Kluyveromyces lactis: one gene and its partners. The protein of the gene in region 1 purifies or fractionates together with the protein of each later gene. This does not show direct contact. Links are inferred from orthologs where the notes say so. Each region holds a gene or a part of one and is shown on either strand. Other genes may lie near its edges.

Region 1 (4,227 bases):
CATCTGTTCCATTATCTGCTTTCAGAAATAAAGGCATCAACTTCGAACATCAAGAAGACGAATACATGCTTCCTGTGTTTTCAGCACGCAAGTTCCCAATTGGTTACGTTGGTAGTGAAAGGACTAGAAGGAAGATCGATAAGATGAAGGAATACCAAAGAAAGAAAGATGAAAAGCGACGGAAGATAAAGAAGAAAAAGAAGCTCTTGAAAATCAGAAGGGAAAGGCAAAGAATTGAAAAGCAAAAATTGCTCACTGCTCCTGAACAAGAAACTGAAACTGAACCCAACGCAGATTCTCACAACAACATTCAAACTCCCTCTAGCGTGAATTTGGCTAGTCCAAGTTCAAGTGTTTTCACCGATGCAGATGCTGGAAACACACCTAATGATTTCAACGGTCTGGTTTTACCAACGAGGAAGAATTCTGTGAAGGGATTAGGAATGGATGAAATTGATCAACTGCTGAAATCTGATGATGATTTAATACTTTCTCATCATGGAGATGAAGATGGAGATATTGATCTATTAGGCAGTGACGATGCAGATCTCCTGGTTTCTCTGACTGCCCCGATTGAAGAAATTGATTTTAACCATGAACAAATGAGCCATGTTGCCGCATGGAGAAGAAGAAACAGTATCGCCGAAGCTGCTGCTGAACATATGAGAGTAACCAAGAATGGACTTTTCAGTGAGACGGCGCTAGCTGATCTGGAGGAAATCATCGGAGGATCAACAGAACTCCCAAGTTAACCCTCATTTTCACTTCCTTTGATTTTATTTTTTATTCCTTGGTTTTACCACTGCTGCTGATGCGAAACTACTCGACTAAAGCATAACCATAAACTACAATTATCTGTATTCTACCTACTACACTTTCTTGGATATAATCTACATAGATATCATTCTGTGAAGCTCTATTCAGCTTCACCATTTTTTCCGTAAGAGGAGTGTTGTACTTCTCTCATAAATCAACAATTAACTTTAAAATCATATCCATTAGAATATTAGCAAATATTTAGCAAATATGTGTAAGTGCAAATAAACATTGTCTAAAGACCGTTCCCGGTTTTCAGCTCCTTTGTATATGTTCAATCTCTTTCTGTTTCAAGCATATGATAACCCATGCCTCATTGTCTACGTTTTTTTCTTTTTTTTGTTCAATTCGAATGTTGAAAAGTTTAATTCATCTCATCTCATCTCATCGCATCACAGAAATATGCTAGGTGAACCAATAAGATTATACCTGGCCAATTATTAGCACCCAGGACAGCACCTTGGATCTCCCACTCGCACAATGGATTTGAGAACTACCTATGCATCCACGAAACTAGAGCCGTTTTATGCTGGTACTGGTGCTATAGCATCTGTTTCTGAAGATGGACGATTATTAGCGACTTCGGTCGTCGATAAAATCAACATTGTTAGCTTAGATAGCCCACGCCGAGTGTTGCATTCTGTTGATACTGAGGATGAACAAGACATCACCGCATTGCATTTAACTCCAGATGGTTCTTATTTGTGTTTTGTCTCACAAGCGCAGTTGCTCAGAGTGTATTCTTTGAAACAAGAAAGAATTATCAGATCAATGAAGATTTCGTCACCGGTGTACGTCATGAATTGCGATCAAACATCTACACTTTTGGCTATAGGTGGTACTGATGGTAGTGTTAGTGTTATTGATATTGAAAATGGATATGTCACGCACTCTTTGAAAGGACATGGTGCTACCATTTCAAGTGTAAAGTTTCACGGTGAGTTGAACAGTGAAATTTGGAAGCTTGCATCTGGTGATACCAACGGTATGATTAAAGTCTGGGATTTAGTTAAACGTAATTGTCAATGCACTATTCAGGAACATACTACAGCTGTTAGAGGGCTAGATTTCCGTGTCACTGATGAAGAAAAGGGAACGCTGCAGTTATTATCTGGTGGTAGAGACAATATCTTAAATCTCTTCGAGTTTAATTCGACGAAAAAGTATAAGCTACTGAAGACCATCCCTGTCATAGAACAGGTGGAATCGTGTGGATTTACGCAGGACCCGGATGTGGTTTACTCAGCCGGTGGTGGTGCCATTTACCAATTAGTGTCCTTGTCAACAGGAAGAGTATTAAAGAAAACAGCAAAACCTATTGAAGAGCTATTTATTATTGGTACACTATGTATCCTGAACGGAACTAAGCAGTACTTGGTATTTTCAGATCAAACTTTGTTCCTAATAGATGTTGAATCAGCTTTACAATCGGAATCTGAAGTAATTGAAGTGGAAAATAAGATTGCAGGTAATCATGGTACCATTGCAGATATAAGATTCGTTGGTCCAAAACGGGATAAATTAGCATTAGCTACTAACTCTCCTACTCTTAGAATAATTCCAACCCCAACTTCTTCGGAGGAAGAGTTCGAAAATGGGGAGAACAAAGAAACATTTCCTATTGAAGTAAAGATGTACGAGGGTCATACGGATCTACTCAACTCTTTGGATGCCACCGCTGATGGTCTCTGGGTTGCTACAGCATCCAAGGATCACAGCGTTATATTATGGAGATATCATGCAAAGTACGAAGACTTTTATCCATACACTAAATTTGTCGGTCATGTAGGTTCTGTGAATGCTGTTGGACTTCCTAATGTTATGCCACGTTCATGGCCTGAATTCATAATTACAGCTTCTAACGATTTGACCATAAAGAAATGGAAGGTTCCTAAGGTGACATCTGATGAACCCGAAGATCTAATACTTGTTAAGACCTCAGAATATACCAGAAGGGCGCATGAAAAGGATATCAATGCTATCTCCATTTCACCTAATGATTCTCTATTTGCCACGGCTTCATACGATAAGACATGTAAAATATGGAATTTGGATGATGGTGAATTCCAAGCCACATTAGCAAACCACAAACGTGGTCTATGGGACGTTGCATTCTGTCAATATGACAAGTTATTGGCCACATGTTCCGGTGACAAGACCATCAAAATTTGGTCCTTAGAATCATATGCCGTCGTAAAAACTTTGGAAGGACATACCAATGCAGTTCAAAGATGTTCCTTCATAAACAAGAACAAGCAACTGATAAGTACTGGTGCTGATGGTTTAGTTATTATTTGGGATCTATCAACTGGTGAATCGGTCAAGACACTAGATGCTCACAATAACCGTATCTGGGCTCTTGCTGTTATGAACGATGGTGAATCCTTCGTTACAGCAGATGCTGACGGCTTCTTTGAGTTCTGGAGGGATAACAGTGAAGAGGAACACGAACGTAACCTCGAGCAAGAGAAACTGAAGATTGAACAAGAACAATCATTACAAAATTATCTCTCAGAAGGTGACTGGACTAACGCATTTTTGCTTGCCATGACCTTGGATCACCCAATGAGATTGTACAACGTCTTAAGACAAAGTGTAGACAACTCAAATGAGGATCCAAATGTAGTTTTCAACAACGAAATTGACGAGGTTGTGTCGACTCTAGATAAAGATCAACTTCTTCTTTTAGTGAAAAGGTGCAGAGATTGGAATACAAATGCAAGAACACACACAGTAGCCCAAAAGATGATAAGGTGTATTCTTCTAAGACAAAATATTGAAGAGTTGAGCGAAATTCCTGGGCTTGTAAGGATCGTTGAATCAATAATCTCATACGCAGAGAGACATTACTCAAGAATGGATAACTTGGTTCAAGAAAGTTATATCTTAGATTACGCTTTAGTTCAAATGGACAAATTGCTATAAAGAATGTAAATATAGCACTAGTCGTCATGTAGATATATACATATAACAGTACAACACACCCACCGCATCAACTCTGAATAGATACCATATCCAGTCAAGGGCCATCCATCAGTAGAATAATAAGTTTGTTACCCGGCTTTGAGTTTTAGACAGAATTTGTTTCCCTGCAAAAGAAACTTCATCAAATAACTAGACGATGTGAAGCGATGAGATGAGATGAGATGAGATCGGCTCTCATCCTTCTTCTGTTAAAAGGTGACTTCAACTGTGAATTTTTGACAGTTATACTTTAAAGTTAACTCTCCTCCATATTAACGAGAAGCTCTATCGGAAACTATCATGTCAGAGGGACATATTGCAGCTATTAGCAAGACGAACAAGAGGAAGAACAGAAGAAAGAAGAGAAGAACGCAAGACGTGTCCGACTCAAGTTCTGATTCCAGCTCCGATTCTGAAAATTCATCGGTAGAAGATAATGATACTAAG
Region 2 (2,825 bases), on another chromosome or scaffold:
TTTGAAACTACGTCTGATGAAAAAATATCCGCCAGTTCTGATTTGGACAATAGTCATGGTACTCGAAGTGCAAGTTTCACAATTTCACCACAACAGAGAGATTTTTCTTTTGGTTCCATAGAGCAAAAGTTAAACGAGCTGACAATGGAATCTGATCAAGAAGATCAACTAGAAAAACCATTGGTGCAGAATAAGGCAACTAAATCTAGTCTTGAAGATTCAGATAATGAAGACAACGAATTAATCTCAGATATCATGGAATTTGCAAGTATAATAGACTTTGGACAAGATATCGAGTTAAATTTTGATCTCTATTCTGACAATCGTTCACACTATGAAACTCTAAATCCGGTCAAAGAATCTGTGAAAAACTCTCTATCCAAGCCCAGCTTCAATACTGAGACAGAAAACTCATTTCTTGTGGAACTTACTAACTCCCCAGAAATTAAGACAAACAGTTCAGTACTCAACCAAAAACAGACTGGTTTGGATGATCAGAAACACATATCAAGTACTATAAAAACAAGAGACACATCACCAGAAAATGTTAGCAGTAGCAACCAAAACACTTTTTCTGATAGCAGTTTATATTTTGATAATTATGATGAGGAAGATTTTGAGAACGAAGATTTTAATGGCATACATGCAGTAAAAGAATCCCCAAAGATCAACGCATTTTTACCAGATATCACAACATCGATGAGCAGGCCTATATCGATGTCTTTTAGGGGTTTGAAAGCGCCACAATTCAACAGTACCATGGAACTTTCAGGGCTTACGGGACTTGAACATATCTCAGATCAGATGTCGAAGAAATCGGAAGAAAGATCTAGCTATGCAGCAAAACTTGTTAAGTTTTCCTCTCAAATAGTCCTTTATGAGACCTATGGTGAACTTGAGTATGATAGGCATCCTGATTCGGCAACATGCAATCAACTTACTCCTCAATTGGCCCAAATGATAAAGGACGAGCTGAATGAGCTTAAAGCAGAAATGGACATTCACGAAGATTCTATGTGCAACACTCACTTCTTTTAGTAGACCTATAAATACATGTAATCATAGTAGTTAAATCATTTACCATGCGTTTCTATGTTTCCCTTTATATGGATTCAAATCGTGCACGTAGCTTTCGTGTTGAGCCCGCTTTGAAAGCTTTGGTAATATTACCCTACTATTTGAAAATAATTCTAACTTGTCTTCAACATCTCCCAAATTTTGAAAATTGTTTCACTCATTATGAAAATGATAAAAAAAGAGCTGCTTTATGCGATGAGCTAACAGTAATACCAAACTAGCTTAAATATGGCCTGTAAGATAATAAGAGTGTTTGATAACAGTAAGGTTTGTCTATATGCATCGTTATAAAATGAAGCCTTTTAAAAATTTCCCCCAGACTGTTATACCCGGTGATCTTATATGTCCAATATTTGATGTTGATGATGATAACAAGCAAGAAGTGGTAATACGCTTCCTAACGGGCACTGGCTGTAAACAGGAGAATTTTAGAGTTAACGGCAAGAACGTTGATATTATCGTAGCCACATTAAAAGGTTCTGTATCTGTGGAAGAAGTTCCAGCAGATATTATCGAAGACGACGATCAAGAAGACTCAGAGAATACGACGTTTGTAGAATCTCATGAGACCACCGGAGGGGATGCAAGCTCTGGCAATAGTAGAGTTATAAAAAGTTTCAAAGTATCAGTATCAAATCCTAGCAAGTTTGCTAGCAAGTATGTTGATGACCAGTTTGTCAATAACCTTCCGCAAGAGGGCGATATCGTACTGGCGAGGGTGACCAGAATCAGTTTGCAAAGAATAACAGTTGAGATTTTAGCAGTTGAGAATTCGCCCTTGCCGATCGACTCTGGTGTCGGAAGCAATGGGACTGGCATAATTGCTGCTGCTGGTGGATCTGGTGCGTCTACGTTTTCCGTTTCGCAAGTGTCCGCGGATTTGGGAGAAACTTTTAGGGGCATAATTAGATCCCAAGATGTAAGGGCCACTGATAGAGATAGAGTAAAAGTTATGGAAAGTTTTAAACCTGGGGATATAATACGTGCTCAAGTGCTCTCACTTGGCGATGGTACCCATTACTATTTAACTACAGCAAGGAATGACTTGGGCGTGGTGTTCGCTAAGTCTTCTAACGGAGCTGGAGAACAGATGTATGCAATTGATTGGCAGACAATGATTTCACCAAAGACCGGAGTCGCTGAGAAACGAAAATGTGCAAAGCCCTTCTAATATAGTCGGAACACAACAAGCTTTTTGTTCAAGTCTATAGGTACCTTCACATACATACATTTACAACTTTCATTTACATTTACATTAGTTTCGTATTAGGCTTCACGCATATTGGGAATATTGAGGAAGTTTCTACTAAGATCATTGTGAATTCAACGCCTGAATATCATATGTTATTATCAGAAAAGTTAGTTGGACTTTTAGTTGATTGGGAATTTCAACTCATCGTGGTCACCTCTTAAATCATATTCACTCAGTCCAACTTTTTTTCCGAACTTCTCAAATCTTTGTAGATAATGCTTTCTCTTCTTCTCTGCAATTTGAGTTAGGACAGGCCAATAGGCTTCATGATTATATTTGAAGTCGAGGTTACCACCATAAAGCGTCTCGAGTTGATCAGGTGGCACATAATTTGGAAATGGTTCATCAAAAACCAATTTTTCACGAGTCAACGGATCAATAAAAGGATGGATGAGCTTCAAAAAGGTCCACGCAAGCCACGGGATATTAGTTAATAATGCTTTCCCTAATCTTTCTGGATAATGTGTTTGTAAAATGTGTAAAACCTCTTTACCGG
Region 3 (2,863 bases), on another chromosome or scaffold:
TGGTCACGTGATATTCATCCTATATTGCAATAAATGATACCACCTCACAAGAGAAAACACAGAGCGATGCACTTAGAAGCACGGGCTCTCCAAGATAGCTGTCCTGTTGTTACAGATGGTTACACCCTACTAAACCCCCGATTTTGAAGTGACACGGCTGTTCAATCGCCGGTAATTCCTTGTGTCAGTTTTCCAGACGTCAAATTGAACTGAATTTAGATCCCAGCCACAAACGTTTTAATAGAGAACACGACATAAGACGTTCTCCAACCGTTCAAGGTCGAGATCTGAATCTAGATATTTAGAGAGAACGTCAGCTTCTACTGTACAGAGCTAAATCATATGAAGAGCTTATTGAATAAGCGGTTTTCGCCTAAACGTCGAAATAAACCAATCACTTACGCACCAGCTTCAGCAGCGAAACCTAAACCCAAACCCAAACCTAAACCCAAACAACTGGACCCACCAATGCAATCCGGTGAGAGCAGTAGCCAGAAAAGCAGCACTCCCATACCAATCAAGTCTATATTAAGACCTGTTGATGGCACGCACGAACATGAGAATAAATCTGTCCGCATTGTGGAATCTTCACCACATCCGGAGTCTGTTCCAATCAGCACACCAACTAGGATAATAGTAGGACCATTACCTGATGGAAATGTTAGTGACTCTTTGGTATATAATGCCAGCGATTTAGAAAAGGGTCATATCGGCGTCGCGGAGGAATCGTCACCGCTACTAGAATCACAGTTGCCTGATTTGACAACATACCAAACAATTTCCCCAGAGTCCAACCCCACTGCACAGATACATTGCTGGTCAACACCCTCGTTGCCAATTCCAATACCACCACCATCAAGCGATCAGCCATGTTCAGGCGACCCCGTGCAGTCACCCTCAATTCCCCCATCCAGGGAATCACCATTTACCAGTCCGTTAAGTCGGTTCTTGCAAATGCTATACGCAAGATATCCTGTCATCATAACTTATATCCTAATCACCATCTGTGTCATTGGGATAATATATTCTTTAGTAACAGGAACTGGTAGATCATATCTCTTGGTTATTATAAAGGCATGTATATGCTGGATAATGGGTACAGACGTGGCAAGAATGCTTTTTGGTACCCAGTTCTGTGATATTGAGTTTAAAGTGTCATGATGTTTCAGTACTGCAAGCTACACATTAAATACCATTAGCATAGCAATAAAGTTGATATAAATTGATATAATCTAACCAACAAATAGCACCAGAACCAGCCAATACACAGCACAGTCCGTTAACGGGTGATGAGCATTCTACTCGTAGTCCAGTGTCAGGAACAAAATCTTCAGCACGTGACCTCTATTTACGTATCATTTCTTTTCGAAGTGAAAAATTTGGACAAAGCGATGAGATGAGATGAGATGAACCACTGGAACTAGTCCATGAAGCAGGTCGTGTTACCGTTCTGTCAGTGTTTCTGTTCAATTGTGCATTGGATTAGACAAGTGGCAAGAGTTTACTGAGAAATATAACAATGGGTTTGAAGAAAGTTCTAGGTTCTGGTGCTGCACTGGTAGCGAAGAGACACTTGAAGTTCGATGATGATGCGGATGATTCATTCCATACAGCTGATGAGGGCAACTCTACCCTAGATGCTCTCAAACCAACAAAAGCAGAAGCGAATGGTGAAAGTGAAAGTGAGAGTGAGAGTGATAGCGATGCGCCAGAAGAAGAAGGCTTGAGTAGTGGGAAAGATGCTATAGAGAAAAGGATTCAGGAAAGAGAAGAGGCTGCAAGGTTACAAGAAGAGGCAGCTAGAGAGAAGAGACGAAAGAACGAGAAAGTGTTCAAGCAACAGCAGCTAGAGAAGAAGAAGAAGCTGCTCGAGTCTGAGGAGGAGAAACAGAGAGAAAAGATGTTAGAGTTTGAACGACAATTAGTAGCGCAGCAGGGTTCGGATAATGATGAGCCGGAAGAGTTACCACAAGAGTTCTTTGATGAGCTAGAAAGTGGATCTGCATCTTCCTTCGCAAAGGCTACGCCGAAACATATTACTTTCTCGGCAGAAGCGCAAAGAGAAGAAGAACAGGCCCTAAAAGAAGAATTACGGAAACAAAAGAAGAGATCACTAAGGGAATTGAGAAAGACCCAAATACAGAAAGGACCTGTCACTGTGAACTTGCTATCGTCGATGAAGGTATCTAAGACACTGGCTCCAAAAAAGGAAACCAGTGTCATGAAATCAAAGGATAAATGGTTGAAAAGAAGAAGTCTCAAACGTAAATAGAAGAGGATTTGTGCCCACATGTACCTATCTATTCAAATATACAGGTCTTTATACATGTGATTTGTCTCGTGTATAATGTATTATCTAAAAGAGGAGTTTCCTGATTGGCTTTAGCTATCATGAGGAGCGAAGAAAGAGATCATTAACGGGATAAAGATACCCAAGAGTAACAATCTGACATCTGGAAGTGATTCTTGTTCTATTTTCTCTTCAGTGGTAACACCTTCGCCCATCTCTAAAACAGAACCCGACACTGGGATCGGGCCATCATTCTGTAACTGTTGTTCCTGGTCCTTACTTGGTGAGATCAACGCAAGCAATGAAGCATACAATAAACTACTACCGCTCAGAACCAATAGCCCATCGCTCATTTTCTCGATTAGGTCCTTGCTGACGAATCTCATCAGGATCACGAATAGCAACCCGAACGGTGTGGATATACTGAATGCAATAAGATTAGAGATTACTTGTAGTTTGGGTAATCTCTGTTTCGAAATCATAATCCCCGTCAAGGAAAGCGTCGCAGGAATTTTATGTATAATAATGGCGATCAACATCACGAATTTCAACGAATCGTAGGATTCGGCAATC
Region 4 (2,865 bases), on another chromosome or scaffold:
AGCAACTTCAATCCAATACGGCAAGCGAAGTGGTGAAGAAAAAGTTGACTAACGAAATCTAACATTAAAAAGAAAGAATAAGGATGATCCATGAGCCATTCAGCGCGCTTTTAAATAGAAGGAAATTGCTACGTTTATCTGTTTTCAAGCAATCACTTGAATTTTCTGGCCAAGAACGGGTCATTTATTTTTTCCGTCTCTTCTTTGATACATCTTCTTCCCCTTCCCTTATTTTTTCTCTCGTTCAGCAACTCTTTCCCTTACCGTCTCCTCGGTACAGTCAATCGTTATAACTCTATTTTGAATTAACATTCTATTTTTATTTATATCGAAATGAGAAGGTTGTTATTCTTTTATGTTAATTTACTTACGGGTGTTTTCTTTTTCTCTTTCTGATTCTTTTTATCCTATCTATAAATACAGTGACTGAAACGCAGTTGCTTCATGCTCCAGGGTTTGCTAATATCATGTAATTGTGTTTAATTTTCCTGTATCTCCTCAAACAACATACCCTTTCCGTCGTTAAAACGAAATACGTTTGATAGAATTCTTTCCACTAGCAAAAATGTTATACTTTGCTTGATTTTATGGACATTATGATGGAATTGTCTTATTATGCTTACTATAATTATAAATAGTCCTTTCTACTAGCCGTTCTAACAAATCTTCTTAGTTGCCATTCTACGTCAGCATCTTTATTTTCTAATGTTCCTAATTTTAATTCGAACAATCTCATCTCGAACCTAGGTCCCACTTCTGCTAACTCCACACCTTCTCTGGTTTTCACATAAACATGTTGCCTAACGCTGATAAAATCTCCTCTGTTTGCAAACGTTATCACCCTTGCTGCATCTTTCTTTGGACCAGGTGGGAATAGGTGCTTTAAAATCGTCTCTACTCTCTTACCCAATGGTGTTGTGAAATTATCGAAGATTAGATGTGGATTTACTTCACTTTGATTCCCCGAATTTAAAATGTCATGTCTTAAAACGACGTTGTGTAATGTGAAAAATGCTGTTGGACCATGTGGGAAATGTGATACCGTTAGTGATGTAGGAACACCTCTATGTTCATGAAGAACAACCAAATCTGACGTTCCTGATGTTTGACAGGCATCGACAAGATTCGGCATAATGTAATTACCTCTGTTTAATCTTACCGCTGTTGGGAACAGTAATTTGATTTCTTTTGCAAACTGTGATAACCTAGTACTAGGGTCTCTAGATGTTGTCACAATAATCTTAGGTTCTGCGATACCGCTTGTTGCGCTGTACTCATCATCTATCTGTTCCTGAGCACTTTCATCGTATTGAAAATCTTTCTGTAGTTGCTCATCTTCAGCAATTTCCTTTGGTAGTGGTTTCCCCTGTGCTAACGCTTGCTTTATGATTTGGCGCTTTTGTTGTAGTTGAGATTCTTGTAGCTCTTGTGCTTTACGGTACAAGTATTCTCTTCTTTCACGAGCTTGCCTTCTTAACATCGTACTTCAATAATGTGTTGCTTGTATAGTACCAAAAAAGCGAATAGCTGATAATATACTATAATAATGCCTGTTTATAGTGACTACAGTACGTATATACACGATACTAGTCCGTCGTAAACAAAAATGTCCAACCAGCTAAGTTGTTCTTCAGCTCTAACGTCTCATCTCATCGCATCGTTCATGTAAAAATTTCAGCCTCAAAAAGAAATAATTATTAGAATAATACCAAATGGTCACGTGACAAAACCTTTATACAAATCCATAAAGCCAAATACGCTAAGAAACGCATTATCGTAACATCGGTTACATACAACAGACACTGTAATTGGTGACATATTAAAGAATTACTTGGTTGTCATTAAACGAGGTTTTATACAGTCTATCAAAGGTAATTAATATTTGTCGTGGATGATGTTTAGTAAATGAAGGAAATTACCTTCACTTCTTGACACATCTGCCATATGCTCTAGCGAAGCTTTCTTCTTCTGAGATTTCCATTCTAGTCTTGAGGAAGAAATTGTTTCTGTTTTTGGAAGGGATATCCATCGATTCACGTCTCGATGCTACCTTTTTGGCTATTTCAGTATCAAAATCTGATTGAAGACTTCCTCCACGTAATGCCATCCTTTGTTGGTGGACGTTATTAGGCAAAAACATATGGGTAGAAAGAGCAGTAGGTAAAATGGTCTGAGCAGCCGGAGGTGCATTCGATTCATGATAATACCGTTCTCTAGTAGTATCGCTTACGATACTACTAAAAGAGCCGAGTCTTCTGGAACGCTCAAATGCGACAGGAATTGGCTTTTGATGATCCAAAAGAGGTTTGTTCTGCCACGAACTTGATGGTGTCACAGAGCCCACAGCAACTATTTCCGTAGTTTCTGGAGCAACAGGTTGAGGCGGTATTTGAATTCCTGTTGGATTCTGATGTAATATGCAATTTTGATCGGTCTTCTTTCTCAGAGGCTTTTCCGATTGTTTATCCAAAGACTTTAAGACAGGTTTCTCAACAGCCTTTGCTGAAGATGTTGCTTCAGAAACATATAGTGGTCTTTTGAGCAAATCCTCATTGGTTGTAGTGTATGCTTTATCCTCTGGATCAACTTGTGACTTGGTTTGTTTCTCTTGCATGAATAGACCAGACAACAAACTTTTCTTCTCTCCGGATTCTTTTGAAGGCACTTGATGAACATTATTGTTTTGGTGTGTCTTTGAGAACATCAGCTTATCCCATTGGTTTTCATAATATTGATCATTATCTTCTTCTTCATCGTATATCTCACTATCATCTGAAAGAGAGTCCCAATCAGATTCTTCGTCCTCACTACTAAAGAACATATTCTTGTGATCTTGTCCGGCATGCACATGCGCTGCATTACTTA
Region 5 (4,193 bases), on another chromosome or scaffold:
TAATCTTTCTTATGCAAGCCAATCTTTACCAAAAGGTTATAATACTCTAATTTCAATGCTGCATACTTTTCATTCTTGAAAGTCTTCTTTAATATTTTTCTGGACAACACAGTGGCTTGAGAGTAATCACCTTTTAGGATACTTAATTCCATTTGTTCAAGGATAAATTCAATCTTTTCATACATCTCCATGGACCCATACGTTTCCACTTGCAATTCACATAACAAGTCAGTGGCCTCATCGATCTTGTTCTCAGATCTTCTGATATGAACCAAATCTCTAGTGACTCTAGCTCTTTCAACTTCCACGAAAATCTTGTTCTCAGTCACGGTTCTTATCGTCTCAATAGTTTTAATCTTGGTGTCCAAATCCTTCAGGTCTTCCAAATATTTCATCACAGACTGAATCATATACTGCACAGATAACTTCAATTGACCATGCTTTTTTGATAGAAGCATGATTTGGTCGTTAAGTAGGTCCCATTGGTCTGCTGCGACCAAAACATCTACGATCTTAGTCAAGACTCTTTTCGAAGATGCTAAATCAGAAGATTGTCTAGTCTTCTTTTCCAACACTAACAATTGATCCAAAGCACTGGAATAATCATTCTTGGCCAAAATCTCAAGCTTAGGAAATTCAGCGTCCAAGATTTCGGTATAATCTTTCTCTGCCTTAATTGGAGCGTCTCTGGACATATTTTACGATATAATTTATACTCTTTTCTCTTTGCTCTGCCTGCTCAACTTAAACCGAAATGCAATACAATCAATTTCTCTGTATCCGTCCTGTATTCAAACCACACAAACTTACAGTCTCAGAACCGACACTGTAACCTGCTGTACCTCTGTTCGCGGTTATTTCGTATATATTTGCCACCTGTAACTGATTTCCTTTATTTCTCATAATGCCTTTAAAATGACAAGCTACGGTAAAAGCTTCCTCAGTAACAGTAACAATCGAATCTTAGAAAAACGTGACTTCATCATCGTTCGTAATGATTGTGCTGGATATTCGGGTAACCTTGATTTGATTTTATTGTGCGGGTAACTATTTTCTTTCTTTTCGGTGAAAAAGCATTAAAAGTTTGACAGAAGATGAATTGAGCGATGAGATGAGATGAGATGGGATTAAATCAAAGGCTGTCAGAAGGTTCAGTATCTTGGCCGATTGTATTGAATTGACTTGCATCATCAGTTGTGTTTAGACCATTCTTCTTGTCTGTGGGCAAATAGGTTACAAAGTCGAATAATAATGGGTGGTTCACAGTTGAAGAACTTGAAGGCCGCTTTAAAGGCTAATGGGTTGACTGGTCAGACCAATGTCAAGAAGAGTTCTAAGAAGAAGGGCAAATCTCCCAGGGAGTTTGATAGAGAAGAAAGACAGAAGACTATTGAAAGAATTAGGGAACAGTTTAATCCGTTTGATGTGAAAACAAATCGTAATAAAAAGGTTGGTGTGATGAGGGAATCTGCAGCTAAACTTGCAGTAGGTAAGCCGGGAATCACTAAACAAGCCGGTGAAGATCAACGTAAAATGTTCTACGAAGCCAAGAAGTCCAGCAAGAACAGAAGCGGTGGTGTCTTAGATAAACGTTTTGGTGAAAAGGATAAGAATTTGACTTCCGAGGAGATCATGTTGGAACGTTTCACAAAGGAAAGACAACGTCAATCTTCGACGAAAAGATCGTTATTCAATTTAGACGATAGCGATGGTGGTGAGGATGAAAACGTGTACGGTGAAAAGTTGACTCATTATGGTAAGTCTCTTTCCTTGGAAGATGATTTCGATGAAGGTGATTTGGGGTTACAGCATTCTGATTCGGAGGACTTCAGGTTGAAACAAGCTGGTAAAAGAAATATGGCGGATCAATACGGAGATGAAGGGTTAGGTGATGACGCTTTGCAAGAGCCAGCAAGAAAGAAGACTAAGGCAGAAGTCATGCAAGAGGTCATTGCTAAATCCAAATTTTACAAACATGAAAGACAAAAGGCGCAGGAGAAATTGGTCCAAGATATCGAAGGCCTTGATGACGATTTCGAAAGCATTATGTCTGAATTAAGGACGTTACCAAAGACTAAACCTTCTCAAACTGAGATTTCGACCTCCACAGACATCGCTCCAGATTATGATATCAAGGTGAAAGAGTTAGTCTTGGAGAAAAGAGCTGCCCCTGCAGATAGAACTAAAACAGATGAAGAGATTAAGAAAGAATATGAGGACAAACAAAAGGAATTGGAGCAGAAAAGGCTTGATCGTATGAACGGTATTTTCAACATTGAAGATCAAAAAGATGCTGGTGTTGAAGATTTGGGAGAAGAGTTTTGGGAAGATAGCGACTCTGAGGAGGGCGAATATGGTGAATATATCAAAGCAATTCCTGACTCGGATGACGACGTTGATTTCGAGAAGGATAACAATGATGACAATGAATACGACGCTACATCAAATGGTAGACCTTCAGCAAGAGTTATACCTTCTGTTCCATGTCCTCAAATTCACGATGACTTACTAAATTTCTTGAAATCTTATCCTATCGAAGAGCATCCATCTTTAGTTAAAAGAATAGTAAAAACATACCAACCAAAATTGGCTGAGGGAAACAAAGAAAAATTGGGCAAATTCACTGCTGTTTTGCTCAGACATATACTTTTCTTGGCTGAAGAAGATTACTCGGTTAATGTGAAAGAAATTGCATCATTACAAAACGAACTAGTAAGCATTCTAAAGACTCTTTCAGAAAAGTTTACCATTCCACTATCAGAGGATTGTAGAAATATCATCTCAGATATTCAGACTAGATTCAAAGAATCCCAGTTCTATGGACTATCTCCATCAGATTTGGTATTTTTCTCTGTTGTTGGTATGTTGTTCTCCACTTCGGATCACTATCATTTAGTCATTACTCCCTGTCTGCTTCTAATTGCAGAGTTTTTGGAACAAATTAGGTTCAATTCTCTTCAAAAATTAATATTTGGTTCGATACTGGTTAGAATCGCCATCCAGTATCAACGTATAAGCAAGCGTTATATTCCTGAGTTAACATACTTCTTGCAGACATCTTTGCGTTCTCTAATACCGAGTACCAAAGGGGAAACATTAGAAAACAAAGAAAAACAGGAGGACAATTTATCAATAGTAGGCTCGGATATTAACTGGTCCAAGGTCGCCCCTTCTTTAGAATTACACTCATTATTTTCCGAGGATCTAGAAAAGCAAGAATCTATCAAACTGTCCGTGCTGGTCAACAATCTAGAATCAATTGATTGGTGCATAACGAACATCTGGAAAGATCTTACTGCCTTCCCAGAAATCATTAATCCCTTCAAAGACATACTAAACGTGGCTGCCGAAGTATATCCTGGTACTTCTAAACCAAAACAATTAGTGGAAAAGATCGAAAAGCTATTGAAATTCCAAGAACGTCTGCCATTGACGTTGCAACAGCATAAACCACTGGCGATTCCATCAAATACGCCTAAATTCGAAGAGAACTTCAACCCAGATAAGAAGTCGTATGATCCAGATAAGACCAGAAGTGAGTTGAACAAGATGAAGGCGCAATTGAAGAAGGAACGTAAGTTCACTATGAAAGAAATACGTAAAGACACTAGATTCGAGGCAAGACAAGGCATTGAAGAAAAGAAGAAGGAGTACGCCGATTACCATTCCAAGATGGCACGTATTGTCAATCAAATCAGTACTGAAGAAGGTGCTGAGAAAAACAAATATGAGCGTGAAAAGAAGCTCCGTAATACCAAACGTTAACTGCATATTATATAATCTATACTCAACATTAATAAACTTTATCATCGATTGCGATCTGATTTTTTGTAATATTGGTTTAATAGGCCCATAACACCATTTCCCGCCTTCAGTTCGTCAGCATTATCAGCAATATCATCCTTAAAAAGGGTAGATTTGTTGATAAGTGAACCACTCAATGAGCCTAATTCAAGGTCCGAACTACGATCCGGGAATCTCTTCACCCTTGATCGATTAAGATTTCTCTTACGATTGGAGTTTTTACCTAAGGCAAATTGTGTCTTCCAGGAATAGTCTTTAGTAGAGCTGTATGGGTGATAAGATGGCTCGATTGGAGAAGCTGGTAGCTGATTTTTGCCCACTGCATTGCCTGCATTCTTGTAATCGTCAACGAAGTACATATATGACTGAAGCATTTTGTTAACACCCTC

Evidence for each region.
Region 2: the proteins of UTP13 (region 1) and CSL4 purify together in Saccharomyces cerevisiae (affinity purification with mass spectrometry; 3 studies listed by BioGRID). This does not show direct contact. The link is inferred for Kluyveromyces lactis from reciprocal best matches to the Saccharomyces cerevisiae genes UTP13 and CSL4.
Region 3: the proteins of UTP13 (region 1) and BUD21 purify together in Saccharomyces cerevisiae (affinity purification with mass spectrometry; 3 studies listed by BioGRID). This does not show direct contact. The link is inferred for Kluyveromyces lactis from reciprocal best matches to the Saccharomyces cerevisiae genes UTP13 and BUD21.
Region 4: the proteins of UTP13 (region 1) and IMP4 purify together in Saccharomyces cerevisiae (affinity purification with mass spectrometry; 3 studies listed by BioGRID). This does not show direct contact. The link is inferred for Kluyveromyces lactis from reciprocal best matches to the Saccharomyces cerevisiae genes UTP13 and IMP4.
Region 5: the proteins of UTP13 (region 1) and NOP14 purify together in Saccharomyces cerevisiae (affinity purification with mass spectrometry; 3 studies listed by BioGRID). This does not show direct contact. The link is inferred for Kluyveromyces lactis from reciprocal best matches to the Saccharomyces cerevisiae genes UTP13 and NOP14.

What each region holds. Positions count from the first base shown.
Region 1 is NC_006042.1:1,222,882-1,227,108, forward strand, and holds UTP13 (U3 snoRNA-associated protein UTP13), read left to right. Parts: upstream 1-1,296; coding exon 1,297-3,741; downstream 3,742-4,227. Other genes in the region: KLLA0_F13222g (uncharacterized protein), read left to right, coding at 1-752; RSA3 (Rsa3p), read left to right, coding at 4,081-4,227. UniProt on the Saccharomyces cerevisiae protein: Involved in nucleolar processing of pre-18S ribosomal RNA.
Region 2 is NC_006040.1:1,659,542-1,662,366, reverse strand, and holds CSL4 (exosome non-catalytic core subunit CSL4), read left to right. Parts: upstream 1-1,354; coding exon 1,355-2,248; downstream 2,249-2,825. Other genes in the region: BNI4 (Bni4p), read left to right, coding at 1-1,038.
Region 3 is NC_006037.1:682,521-685,383, reverse strand, and holds BUD21 (Bud21p), read left to right. Parts: upstream 1-1,519; coding exon 1,520-2,272; downstream 2,273-2,863. Other genes in the region: KLLA0_A07645g (uncharacterized protein), read left to right, coding at 343-1,161; Mn(2+) transporter ATX2, read right to left, coding at 2,383-2,863. UniProt on the Saccharomyces cerevisiae protein: Functions as part of the small subunit (SSU) processome, first precursor of the small eukaryotic ribosomal subunit that coordinates the first two steps of ribosome biogenesis in transcription of the primary transcript pre-RNA and pre-18S processing.
Region 4 is NC_006041.1:700,565-703,429, forward strand, and holds IMP4 (snoRNA-binding rRNA-processing protein IMP4), read right to left. Parts: upstream 1,481-2,865; coding exon 629-1,480; downstream 1-628. Other genes in the region: KLLA0_E07811g (uncharacterized protein), read left to right, coding at 1-62; MKS1 (Mks1p), read right to left, coding at 1,922-2,865. UniProt on the Saccharomyces cerevisiae protein: Required for the early cleavages at sites A0, A1 and A2 during 18S ribosomal pre-RNA processing.
Region 5 is NC_006039.1:1,426,500-1,430,692, forward strand, and holds NOP14 (snoRNA-binding rRNA-processing protein NOP14), read left to right. Parts: upstream 1-1,251; coding exon 1,252-3,765; downstream 3,766-4,193. Other genes in the region: proteasome regulatory particle lid subunit RPN5, read right to left, coding at 1-695; autophagy protein ATG9, read right to left, coding at 3,807-4,193. UniProt on the Saccharomyces cerevisiae protein: Involved in nucleolar processing of pre-18S ribosomal RNA. Has a role in the nuclear export of 40S pre-ribosomal subunit to the cytoplasm.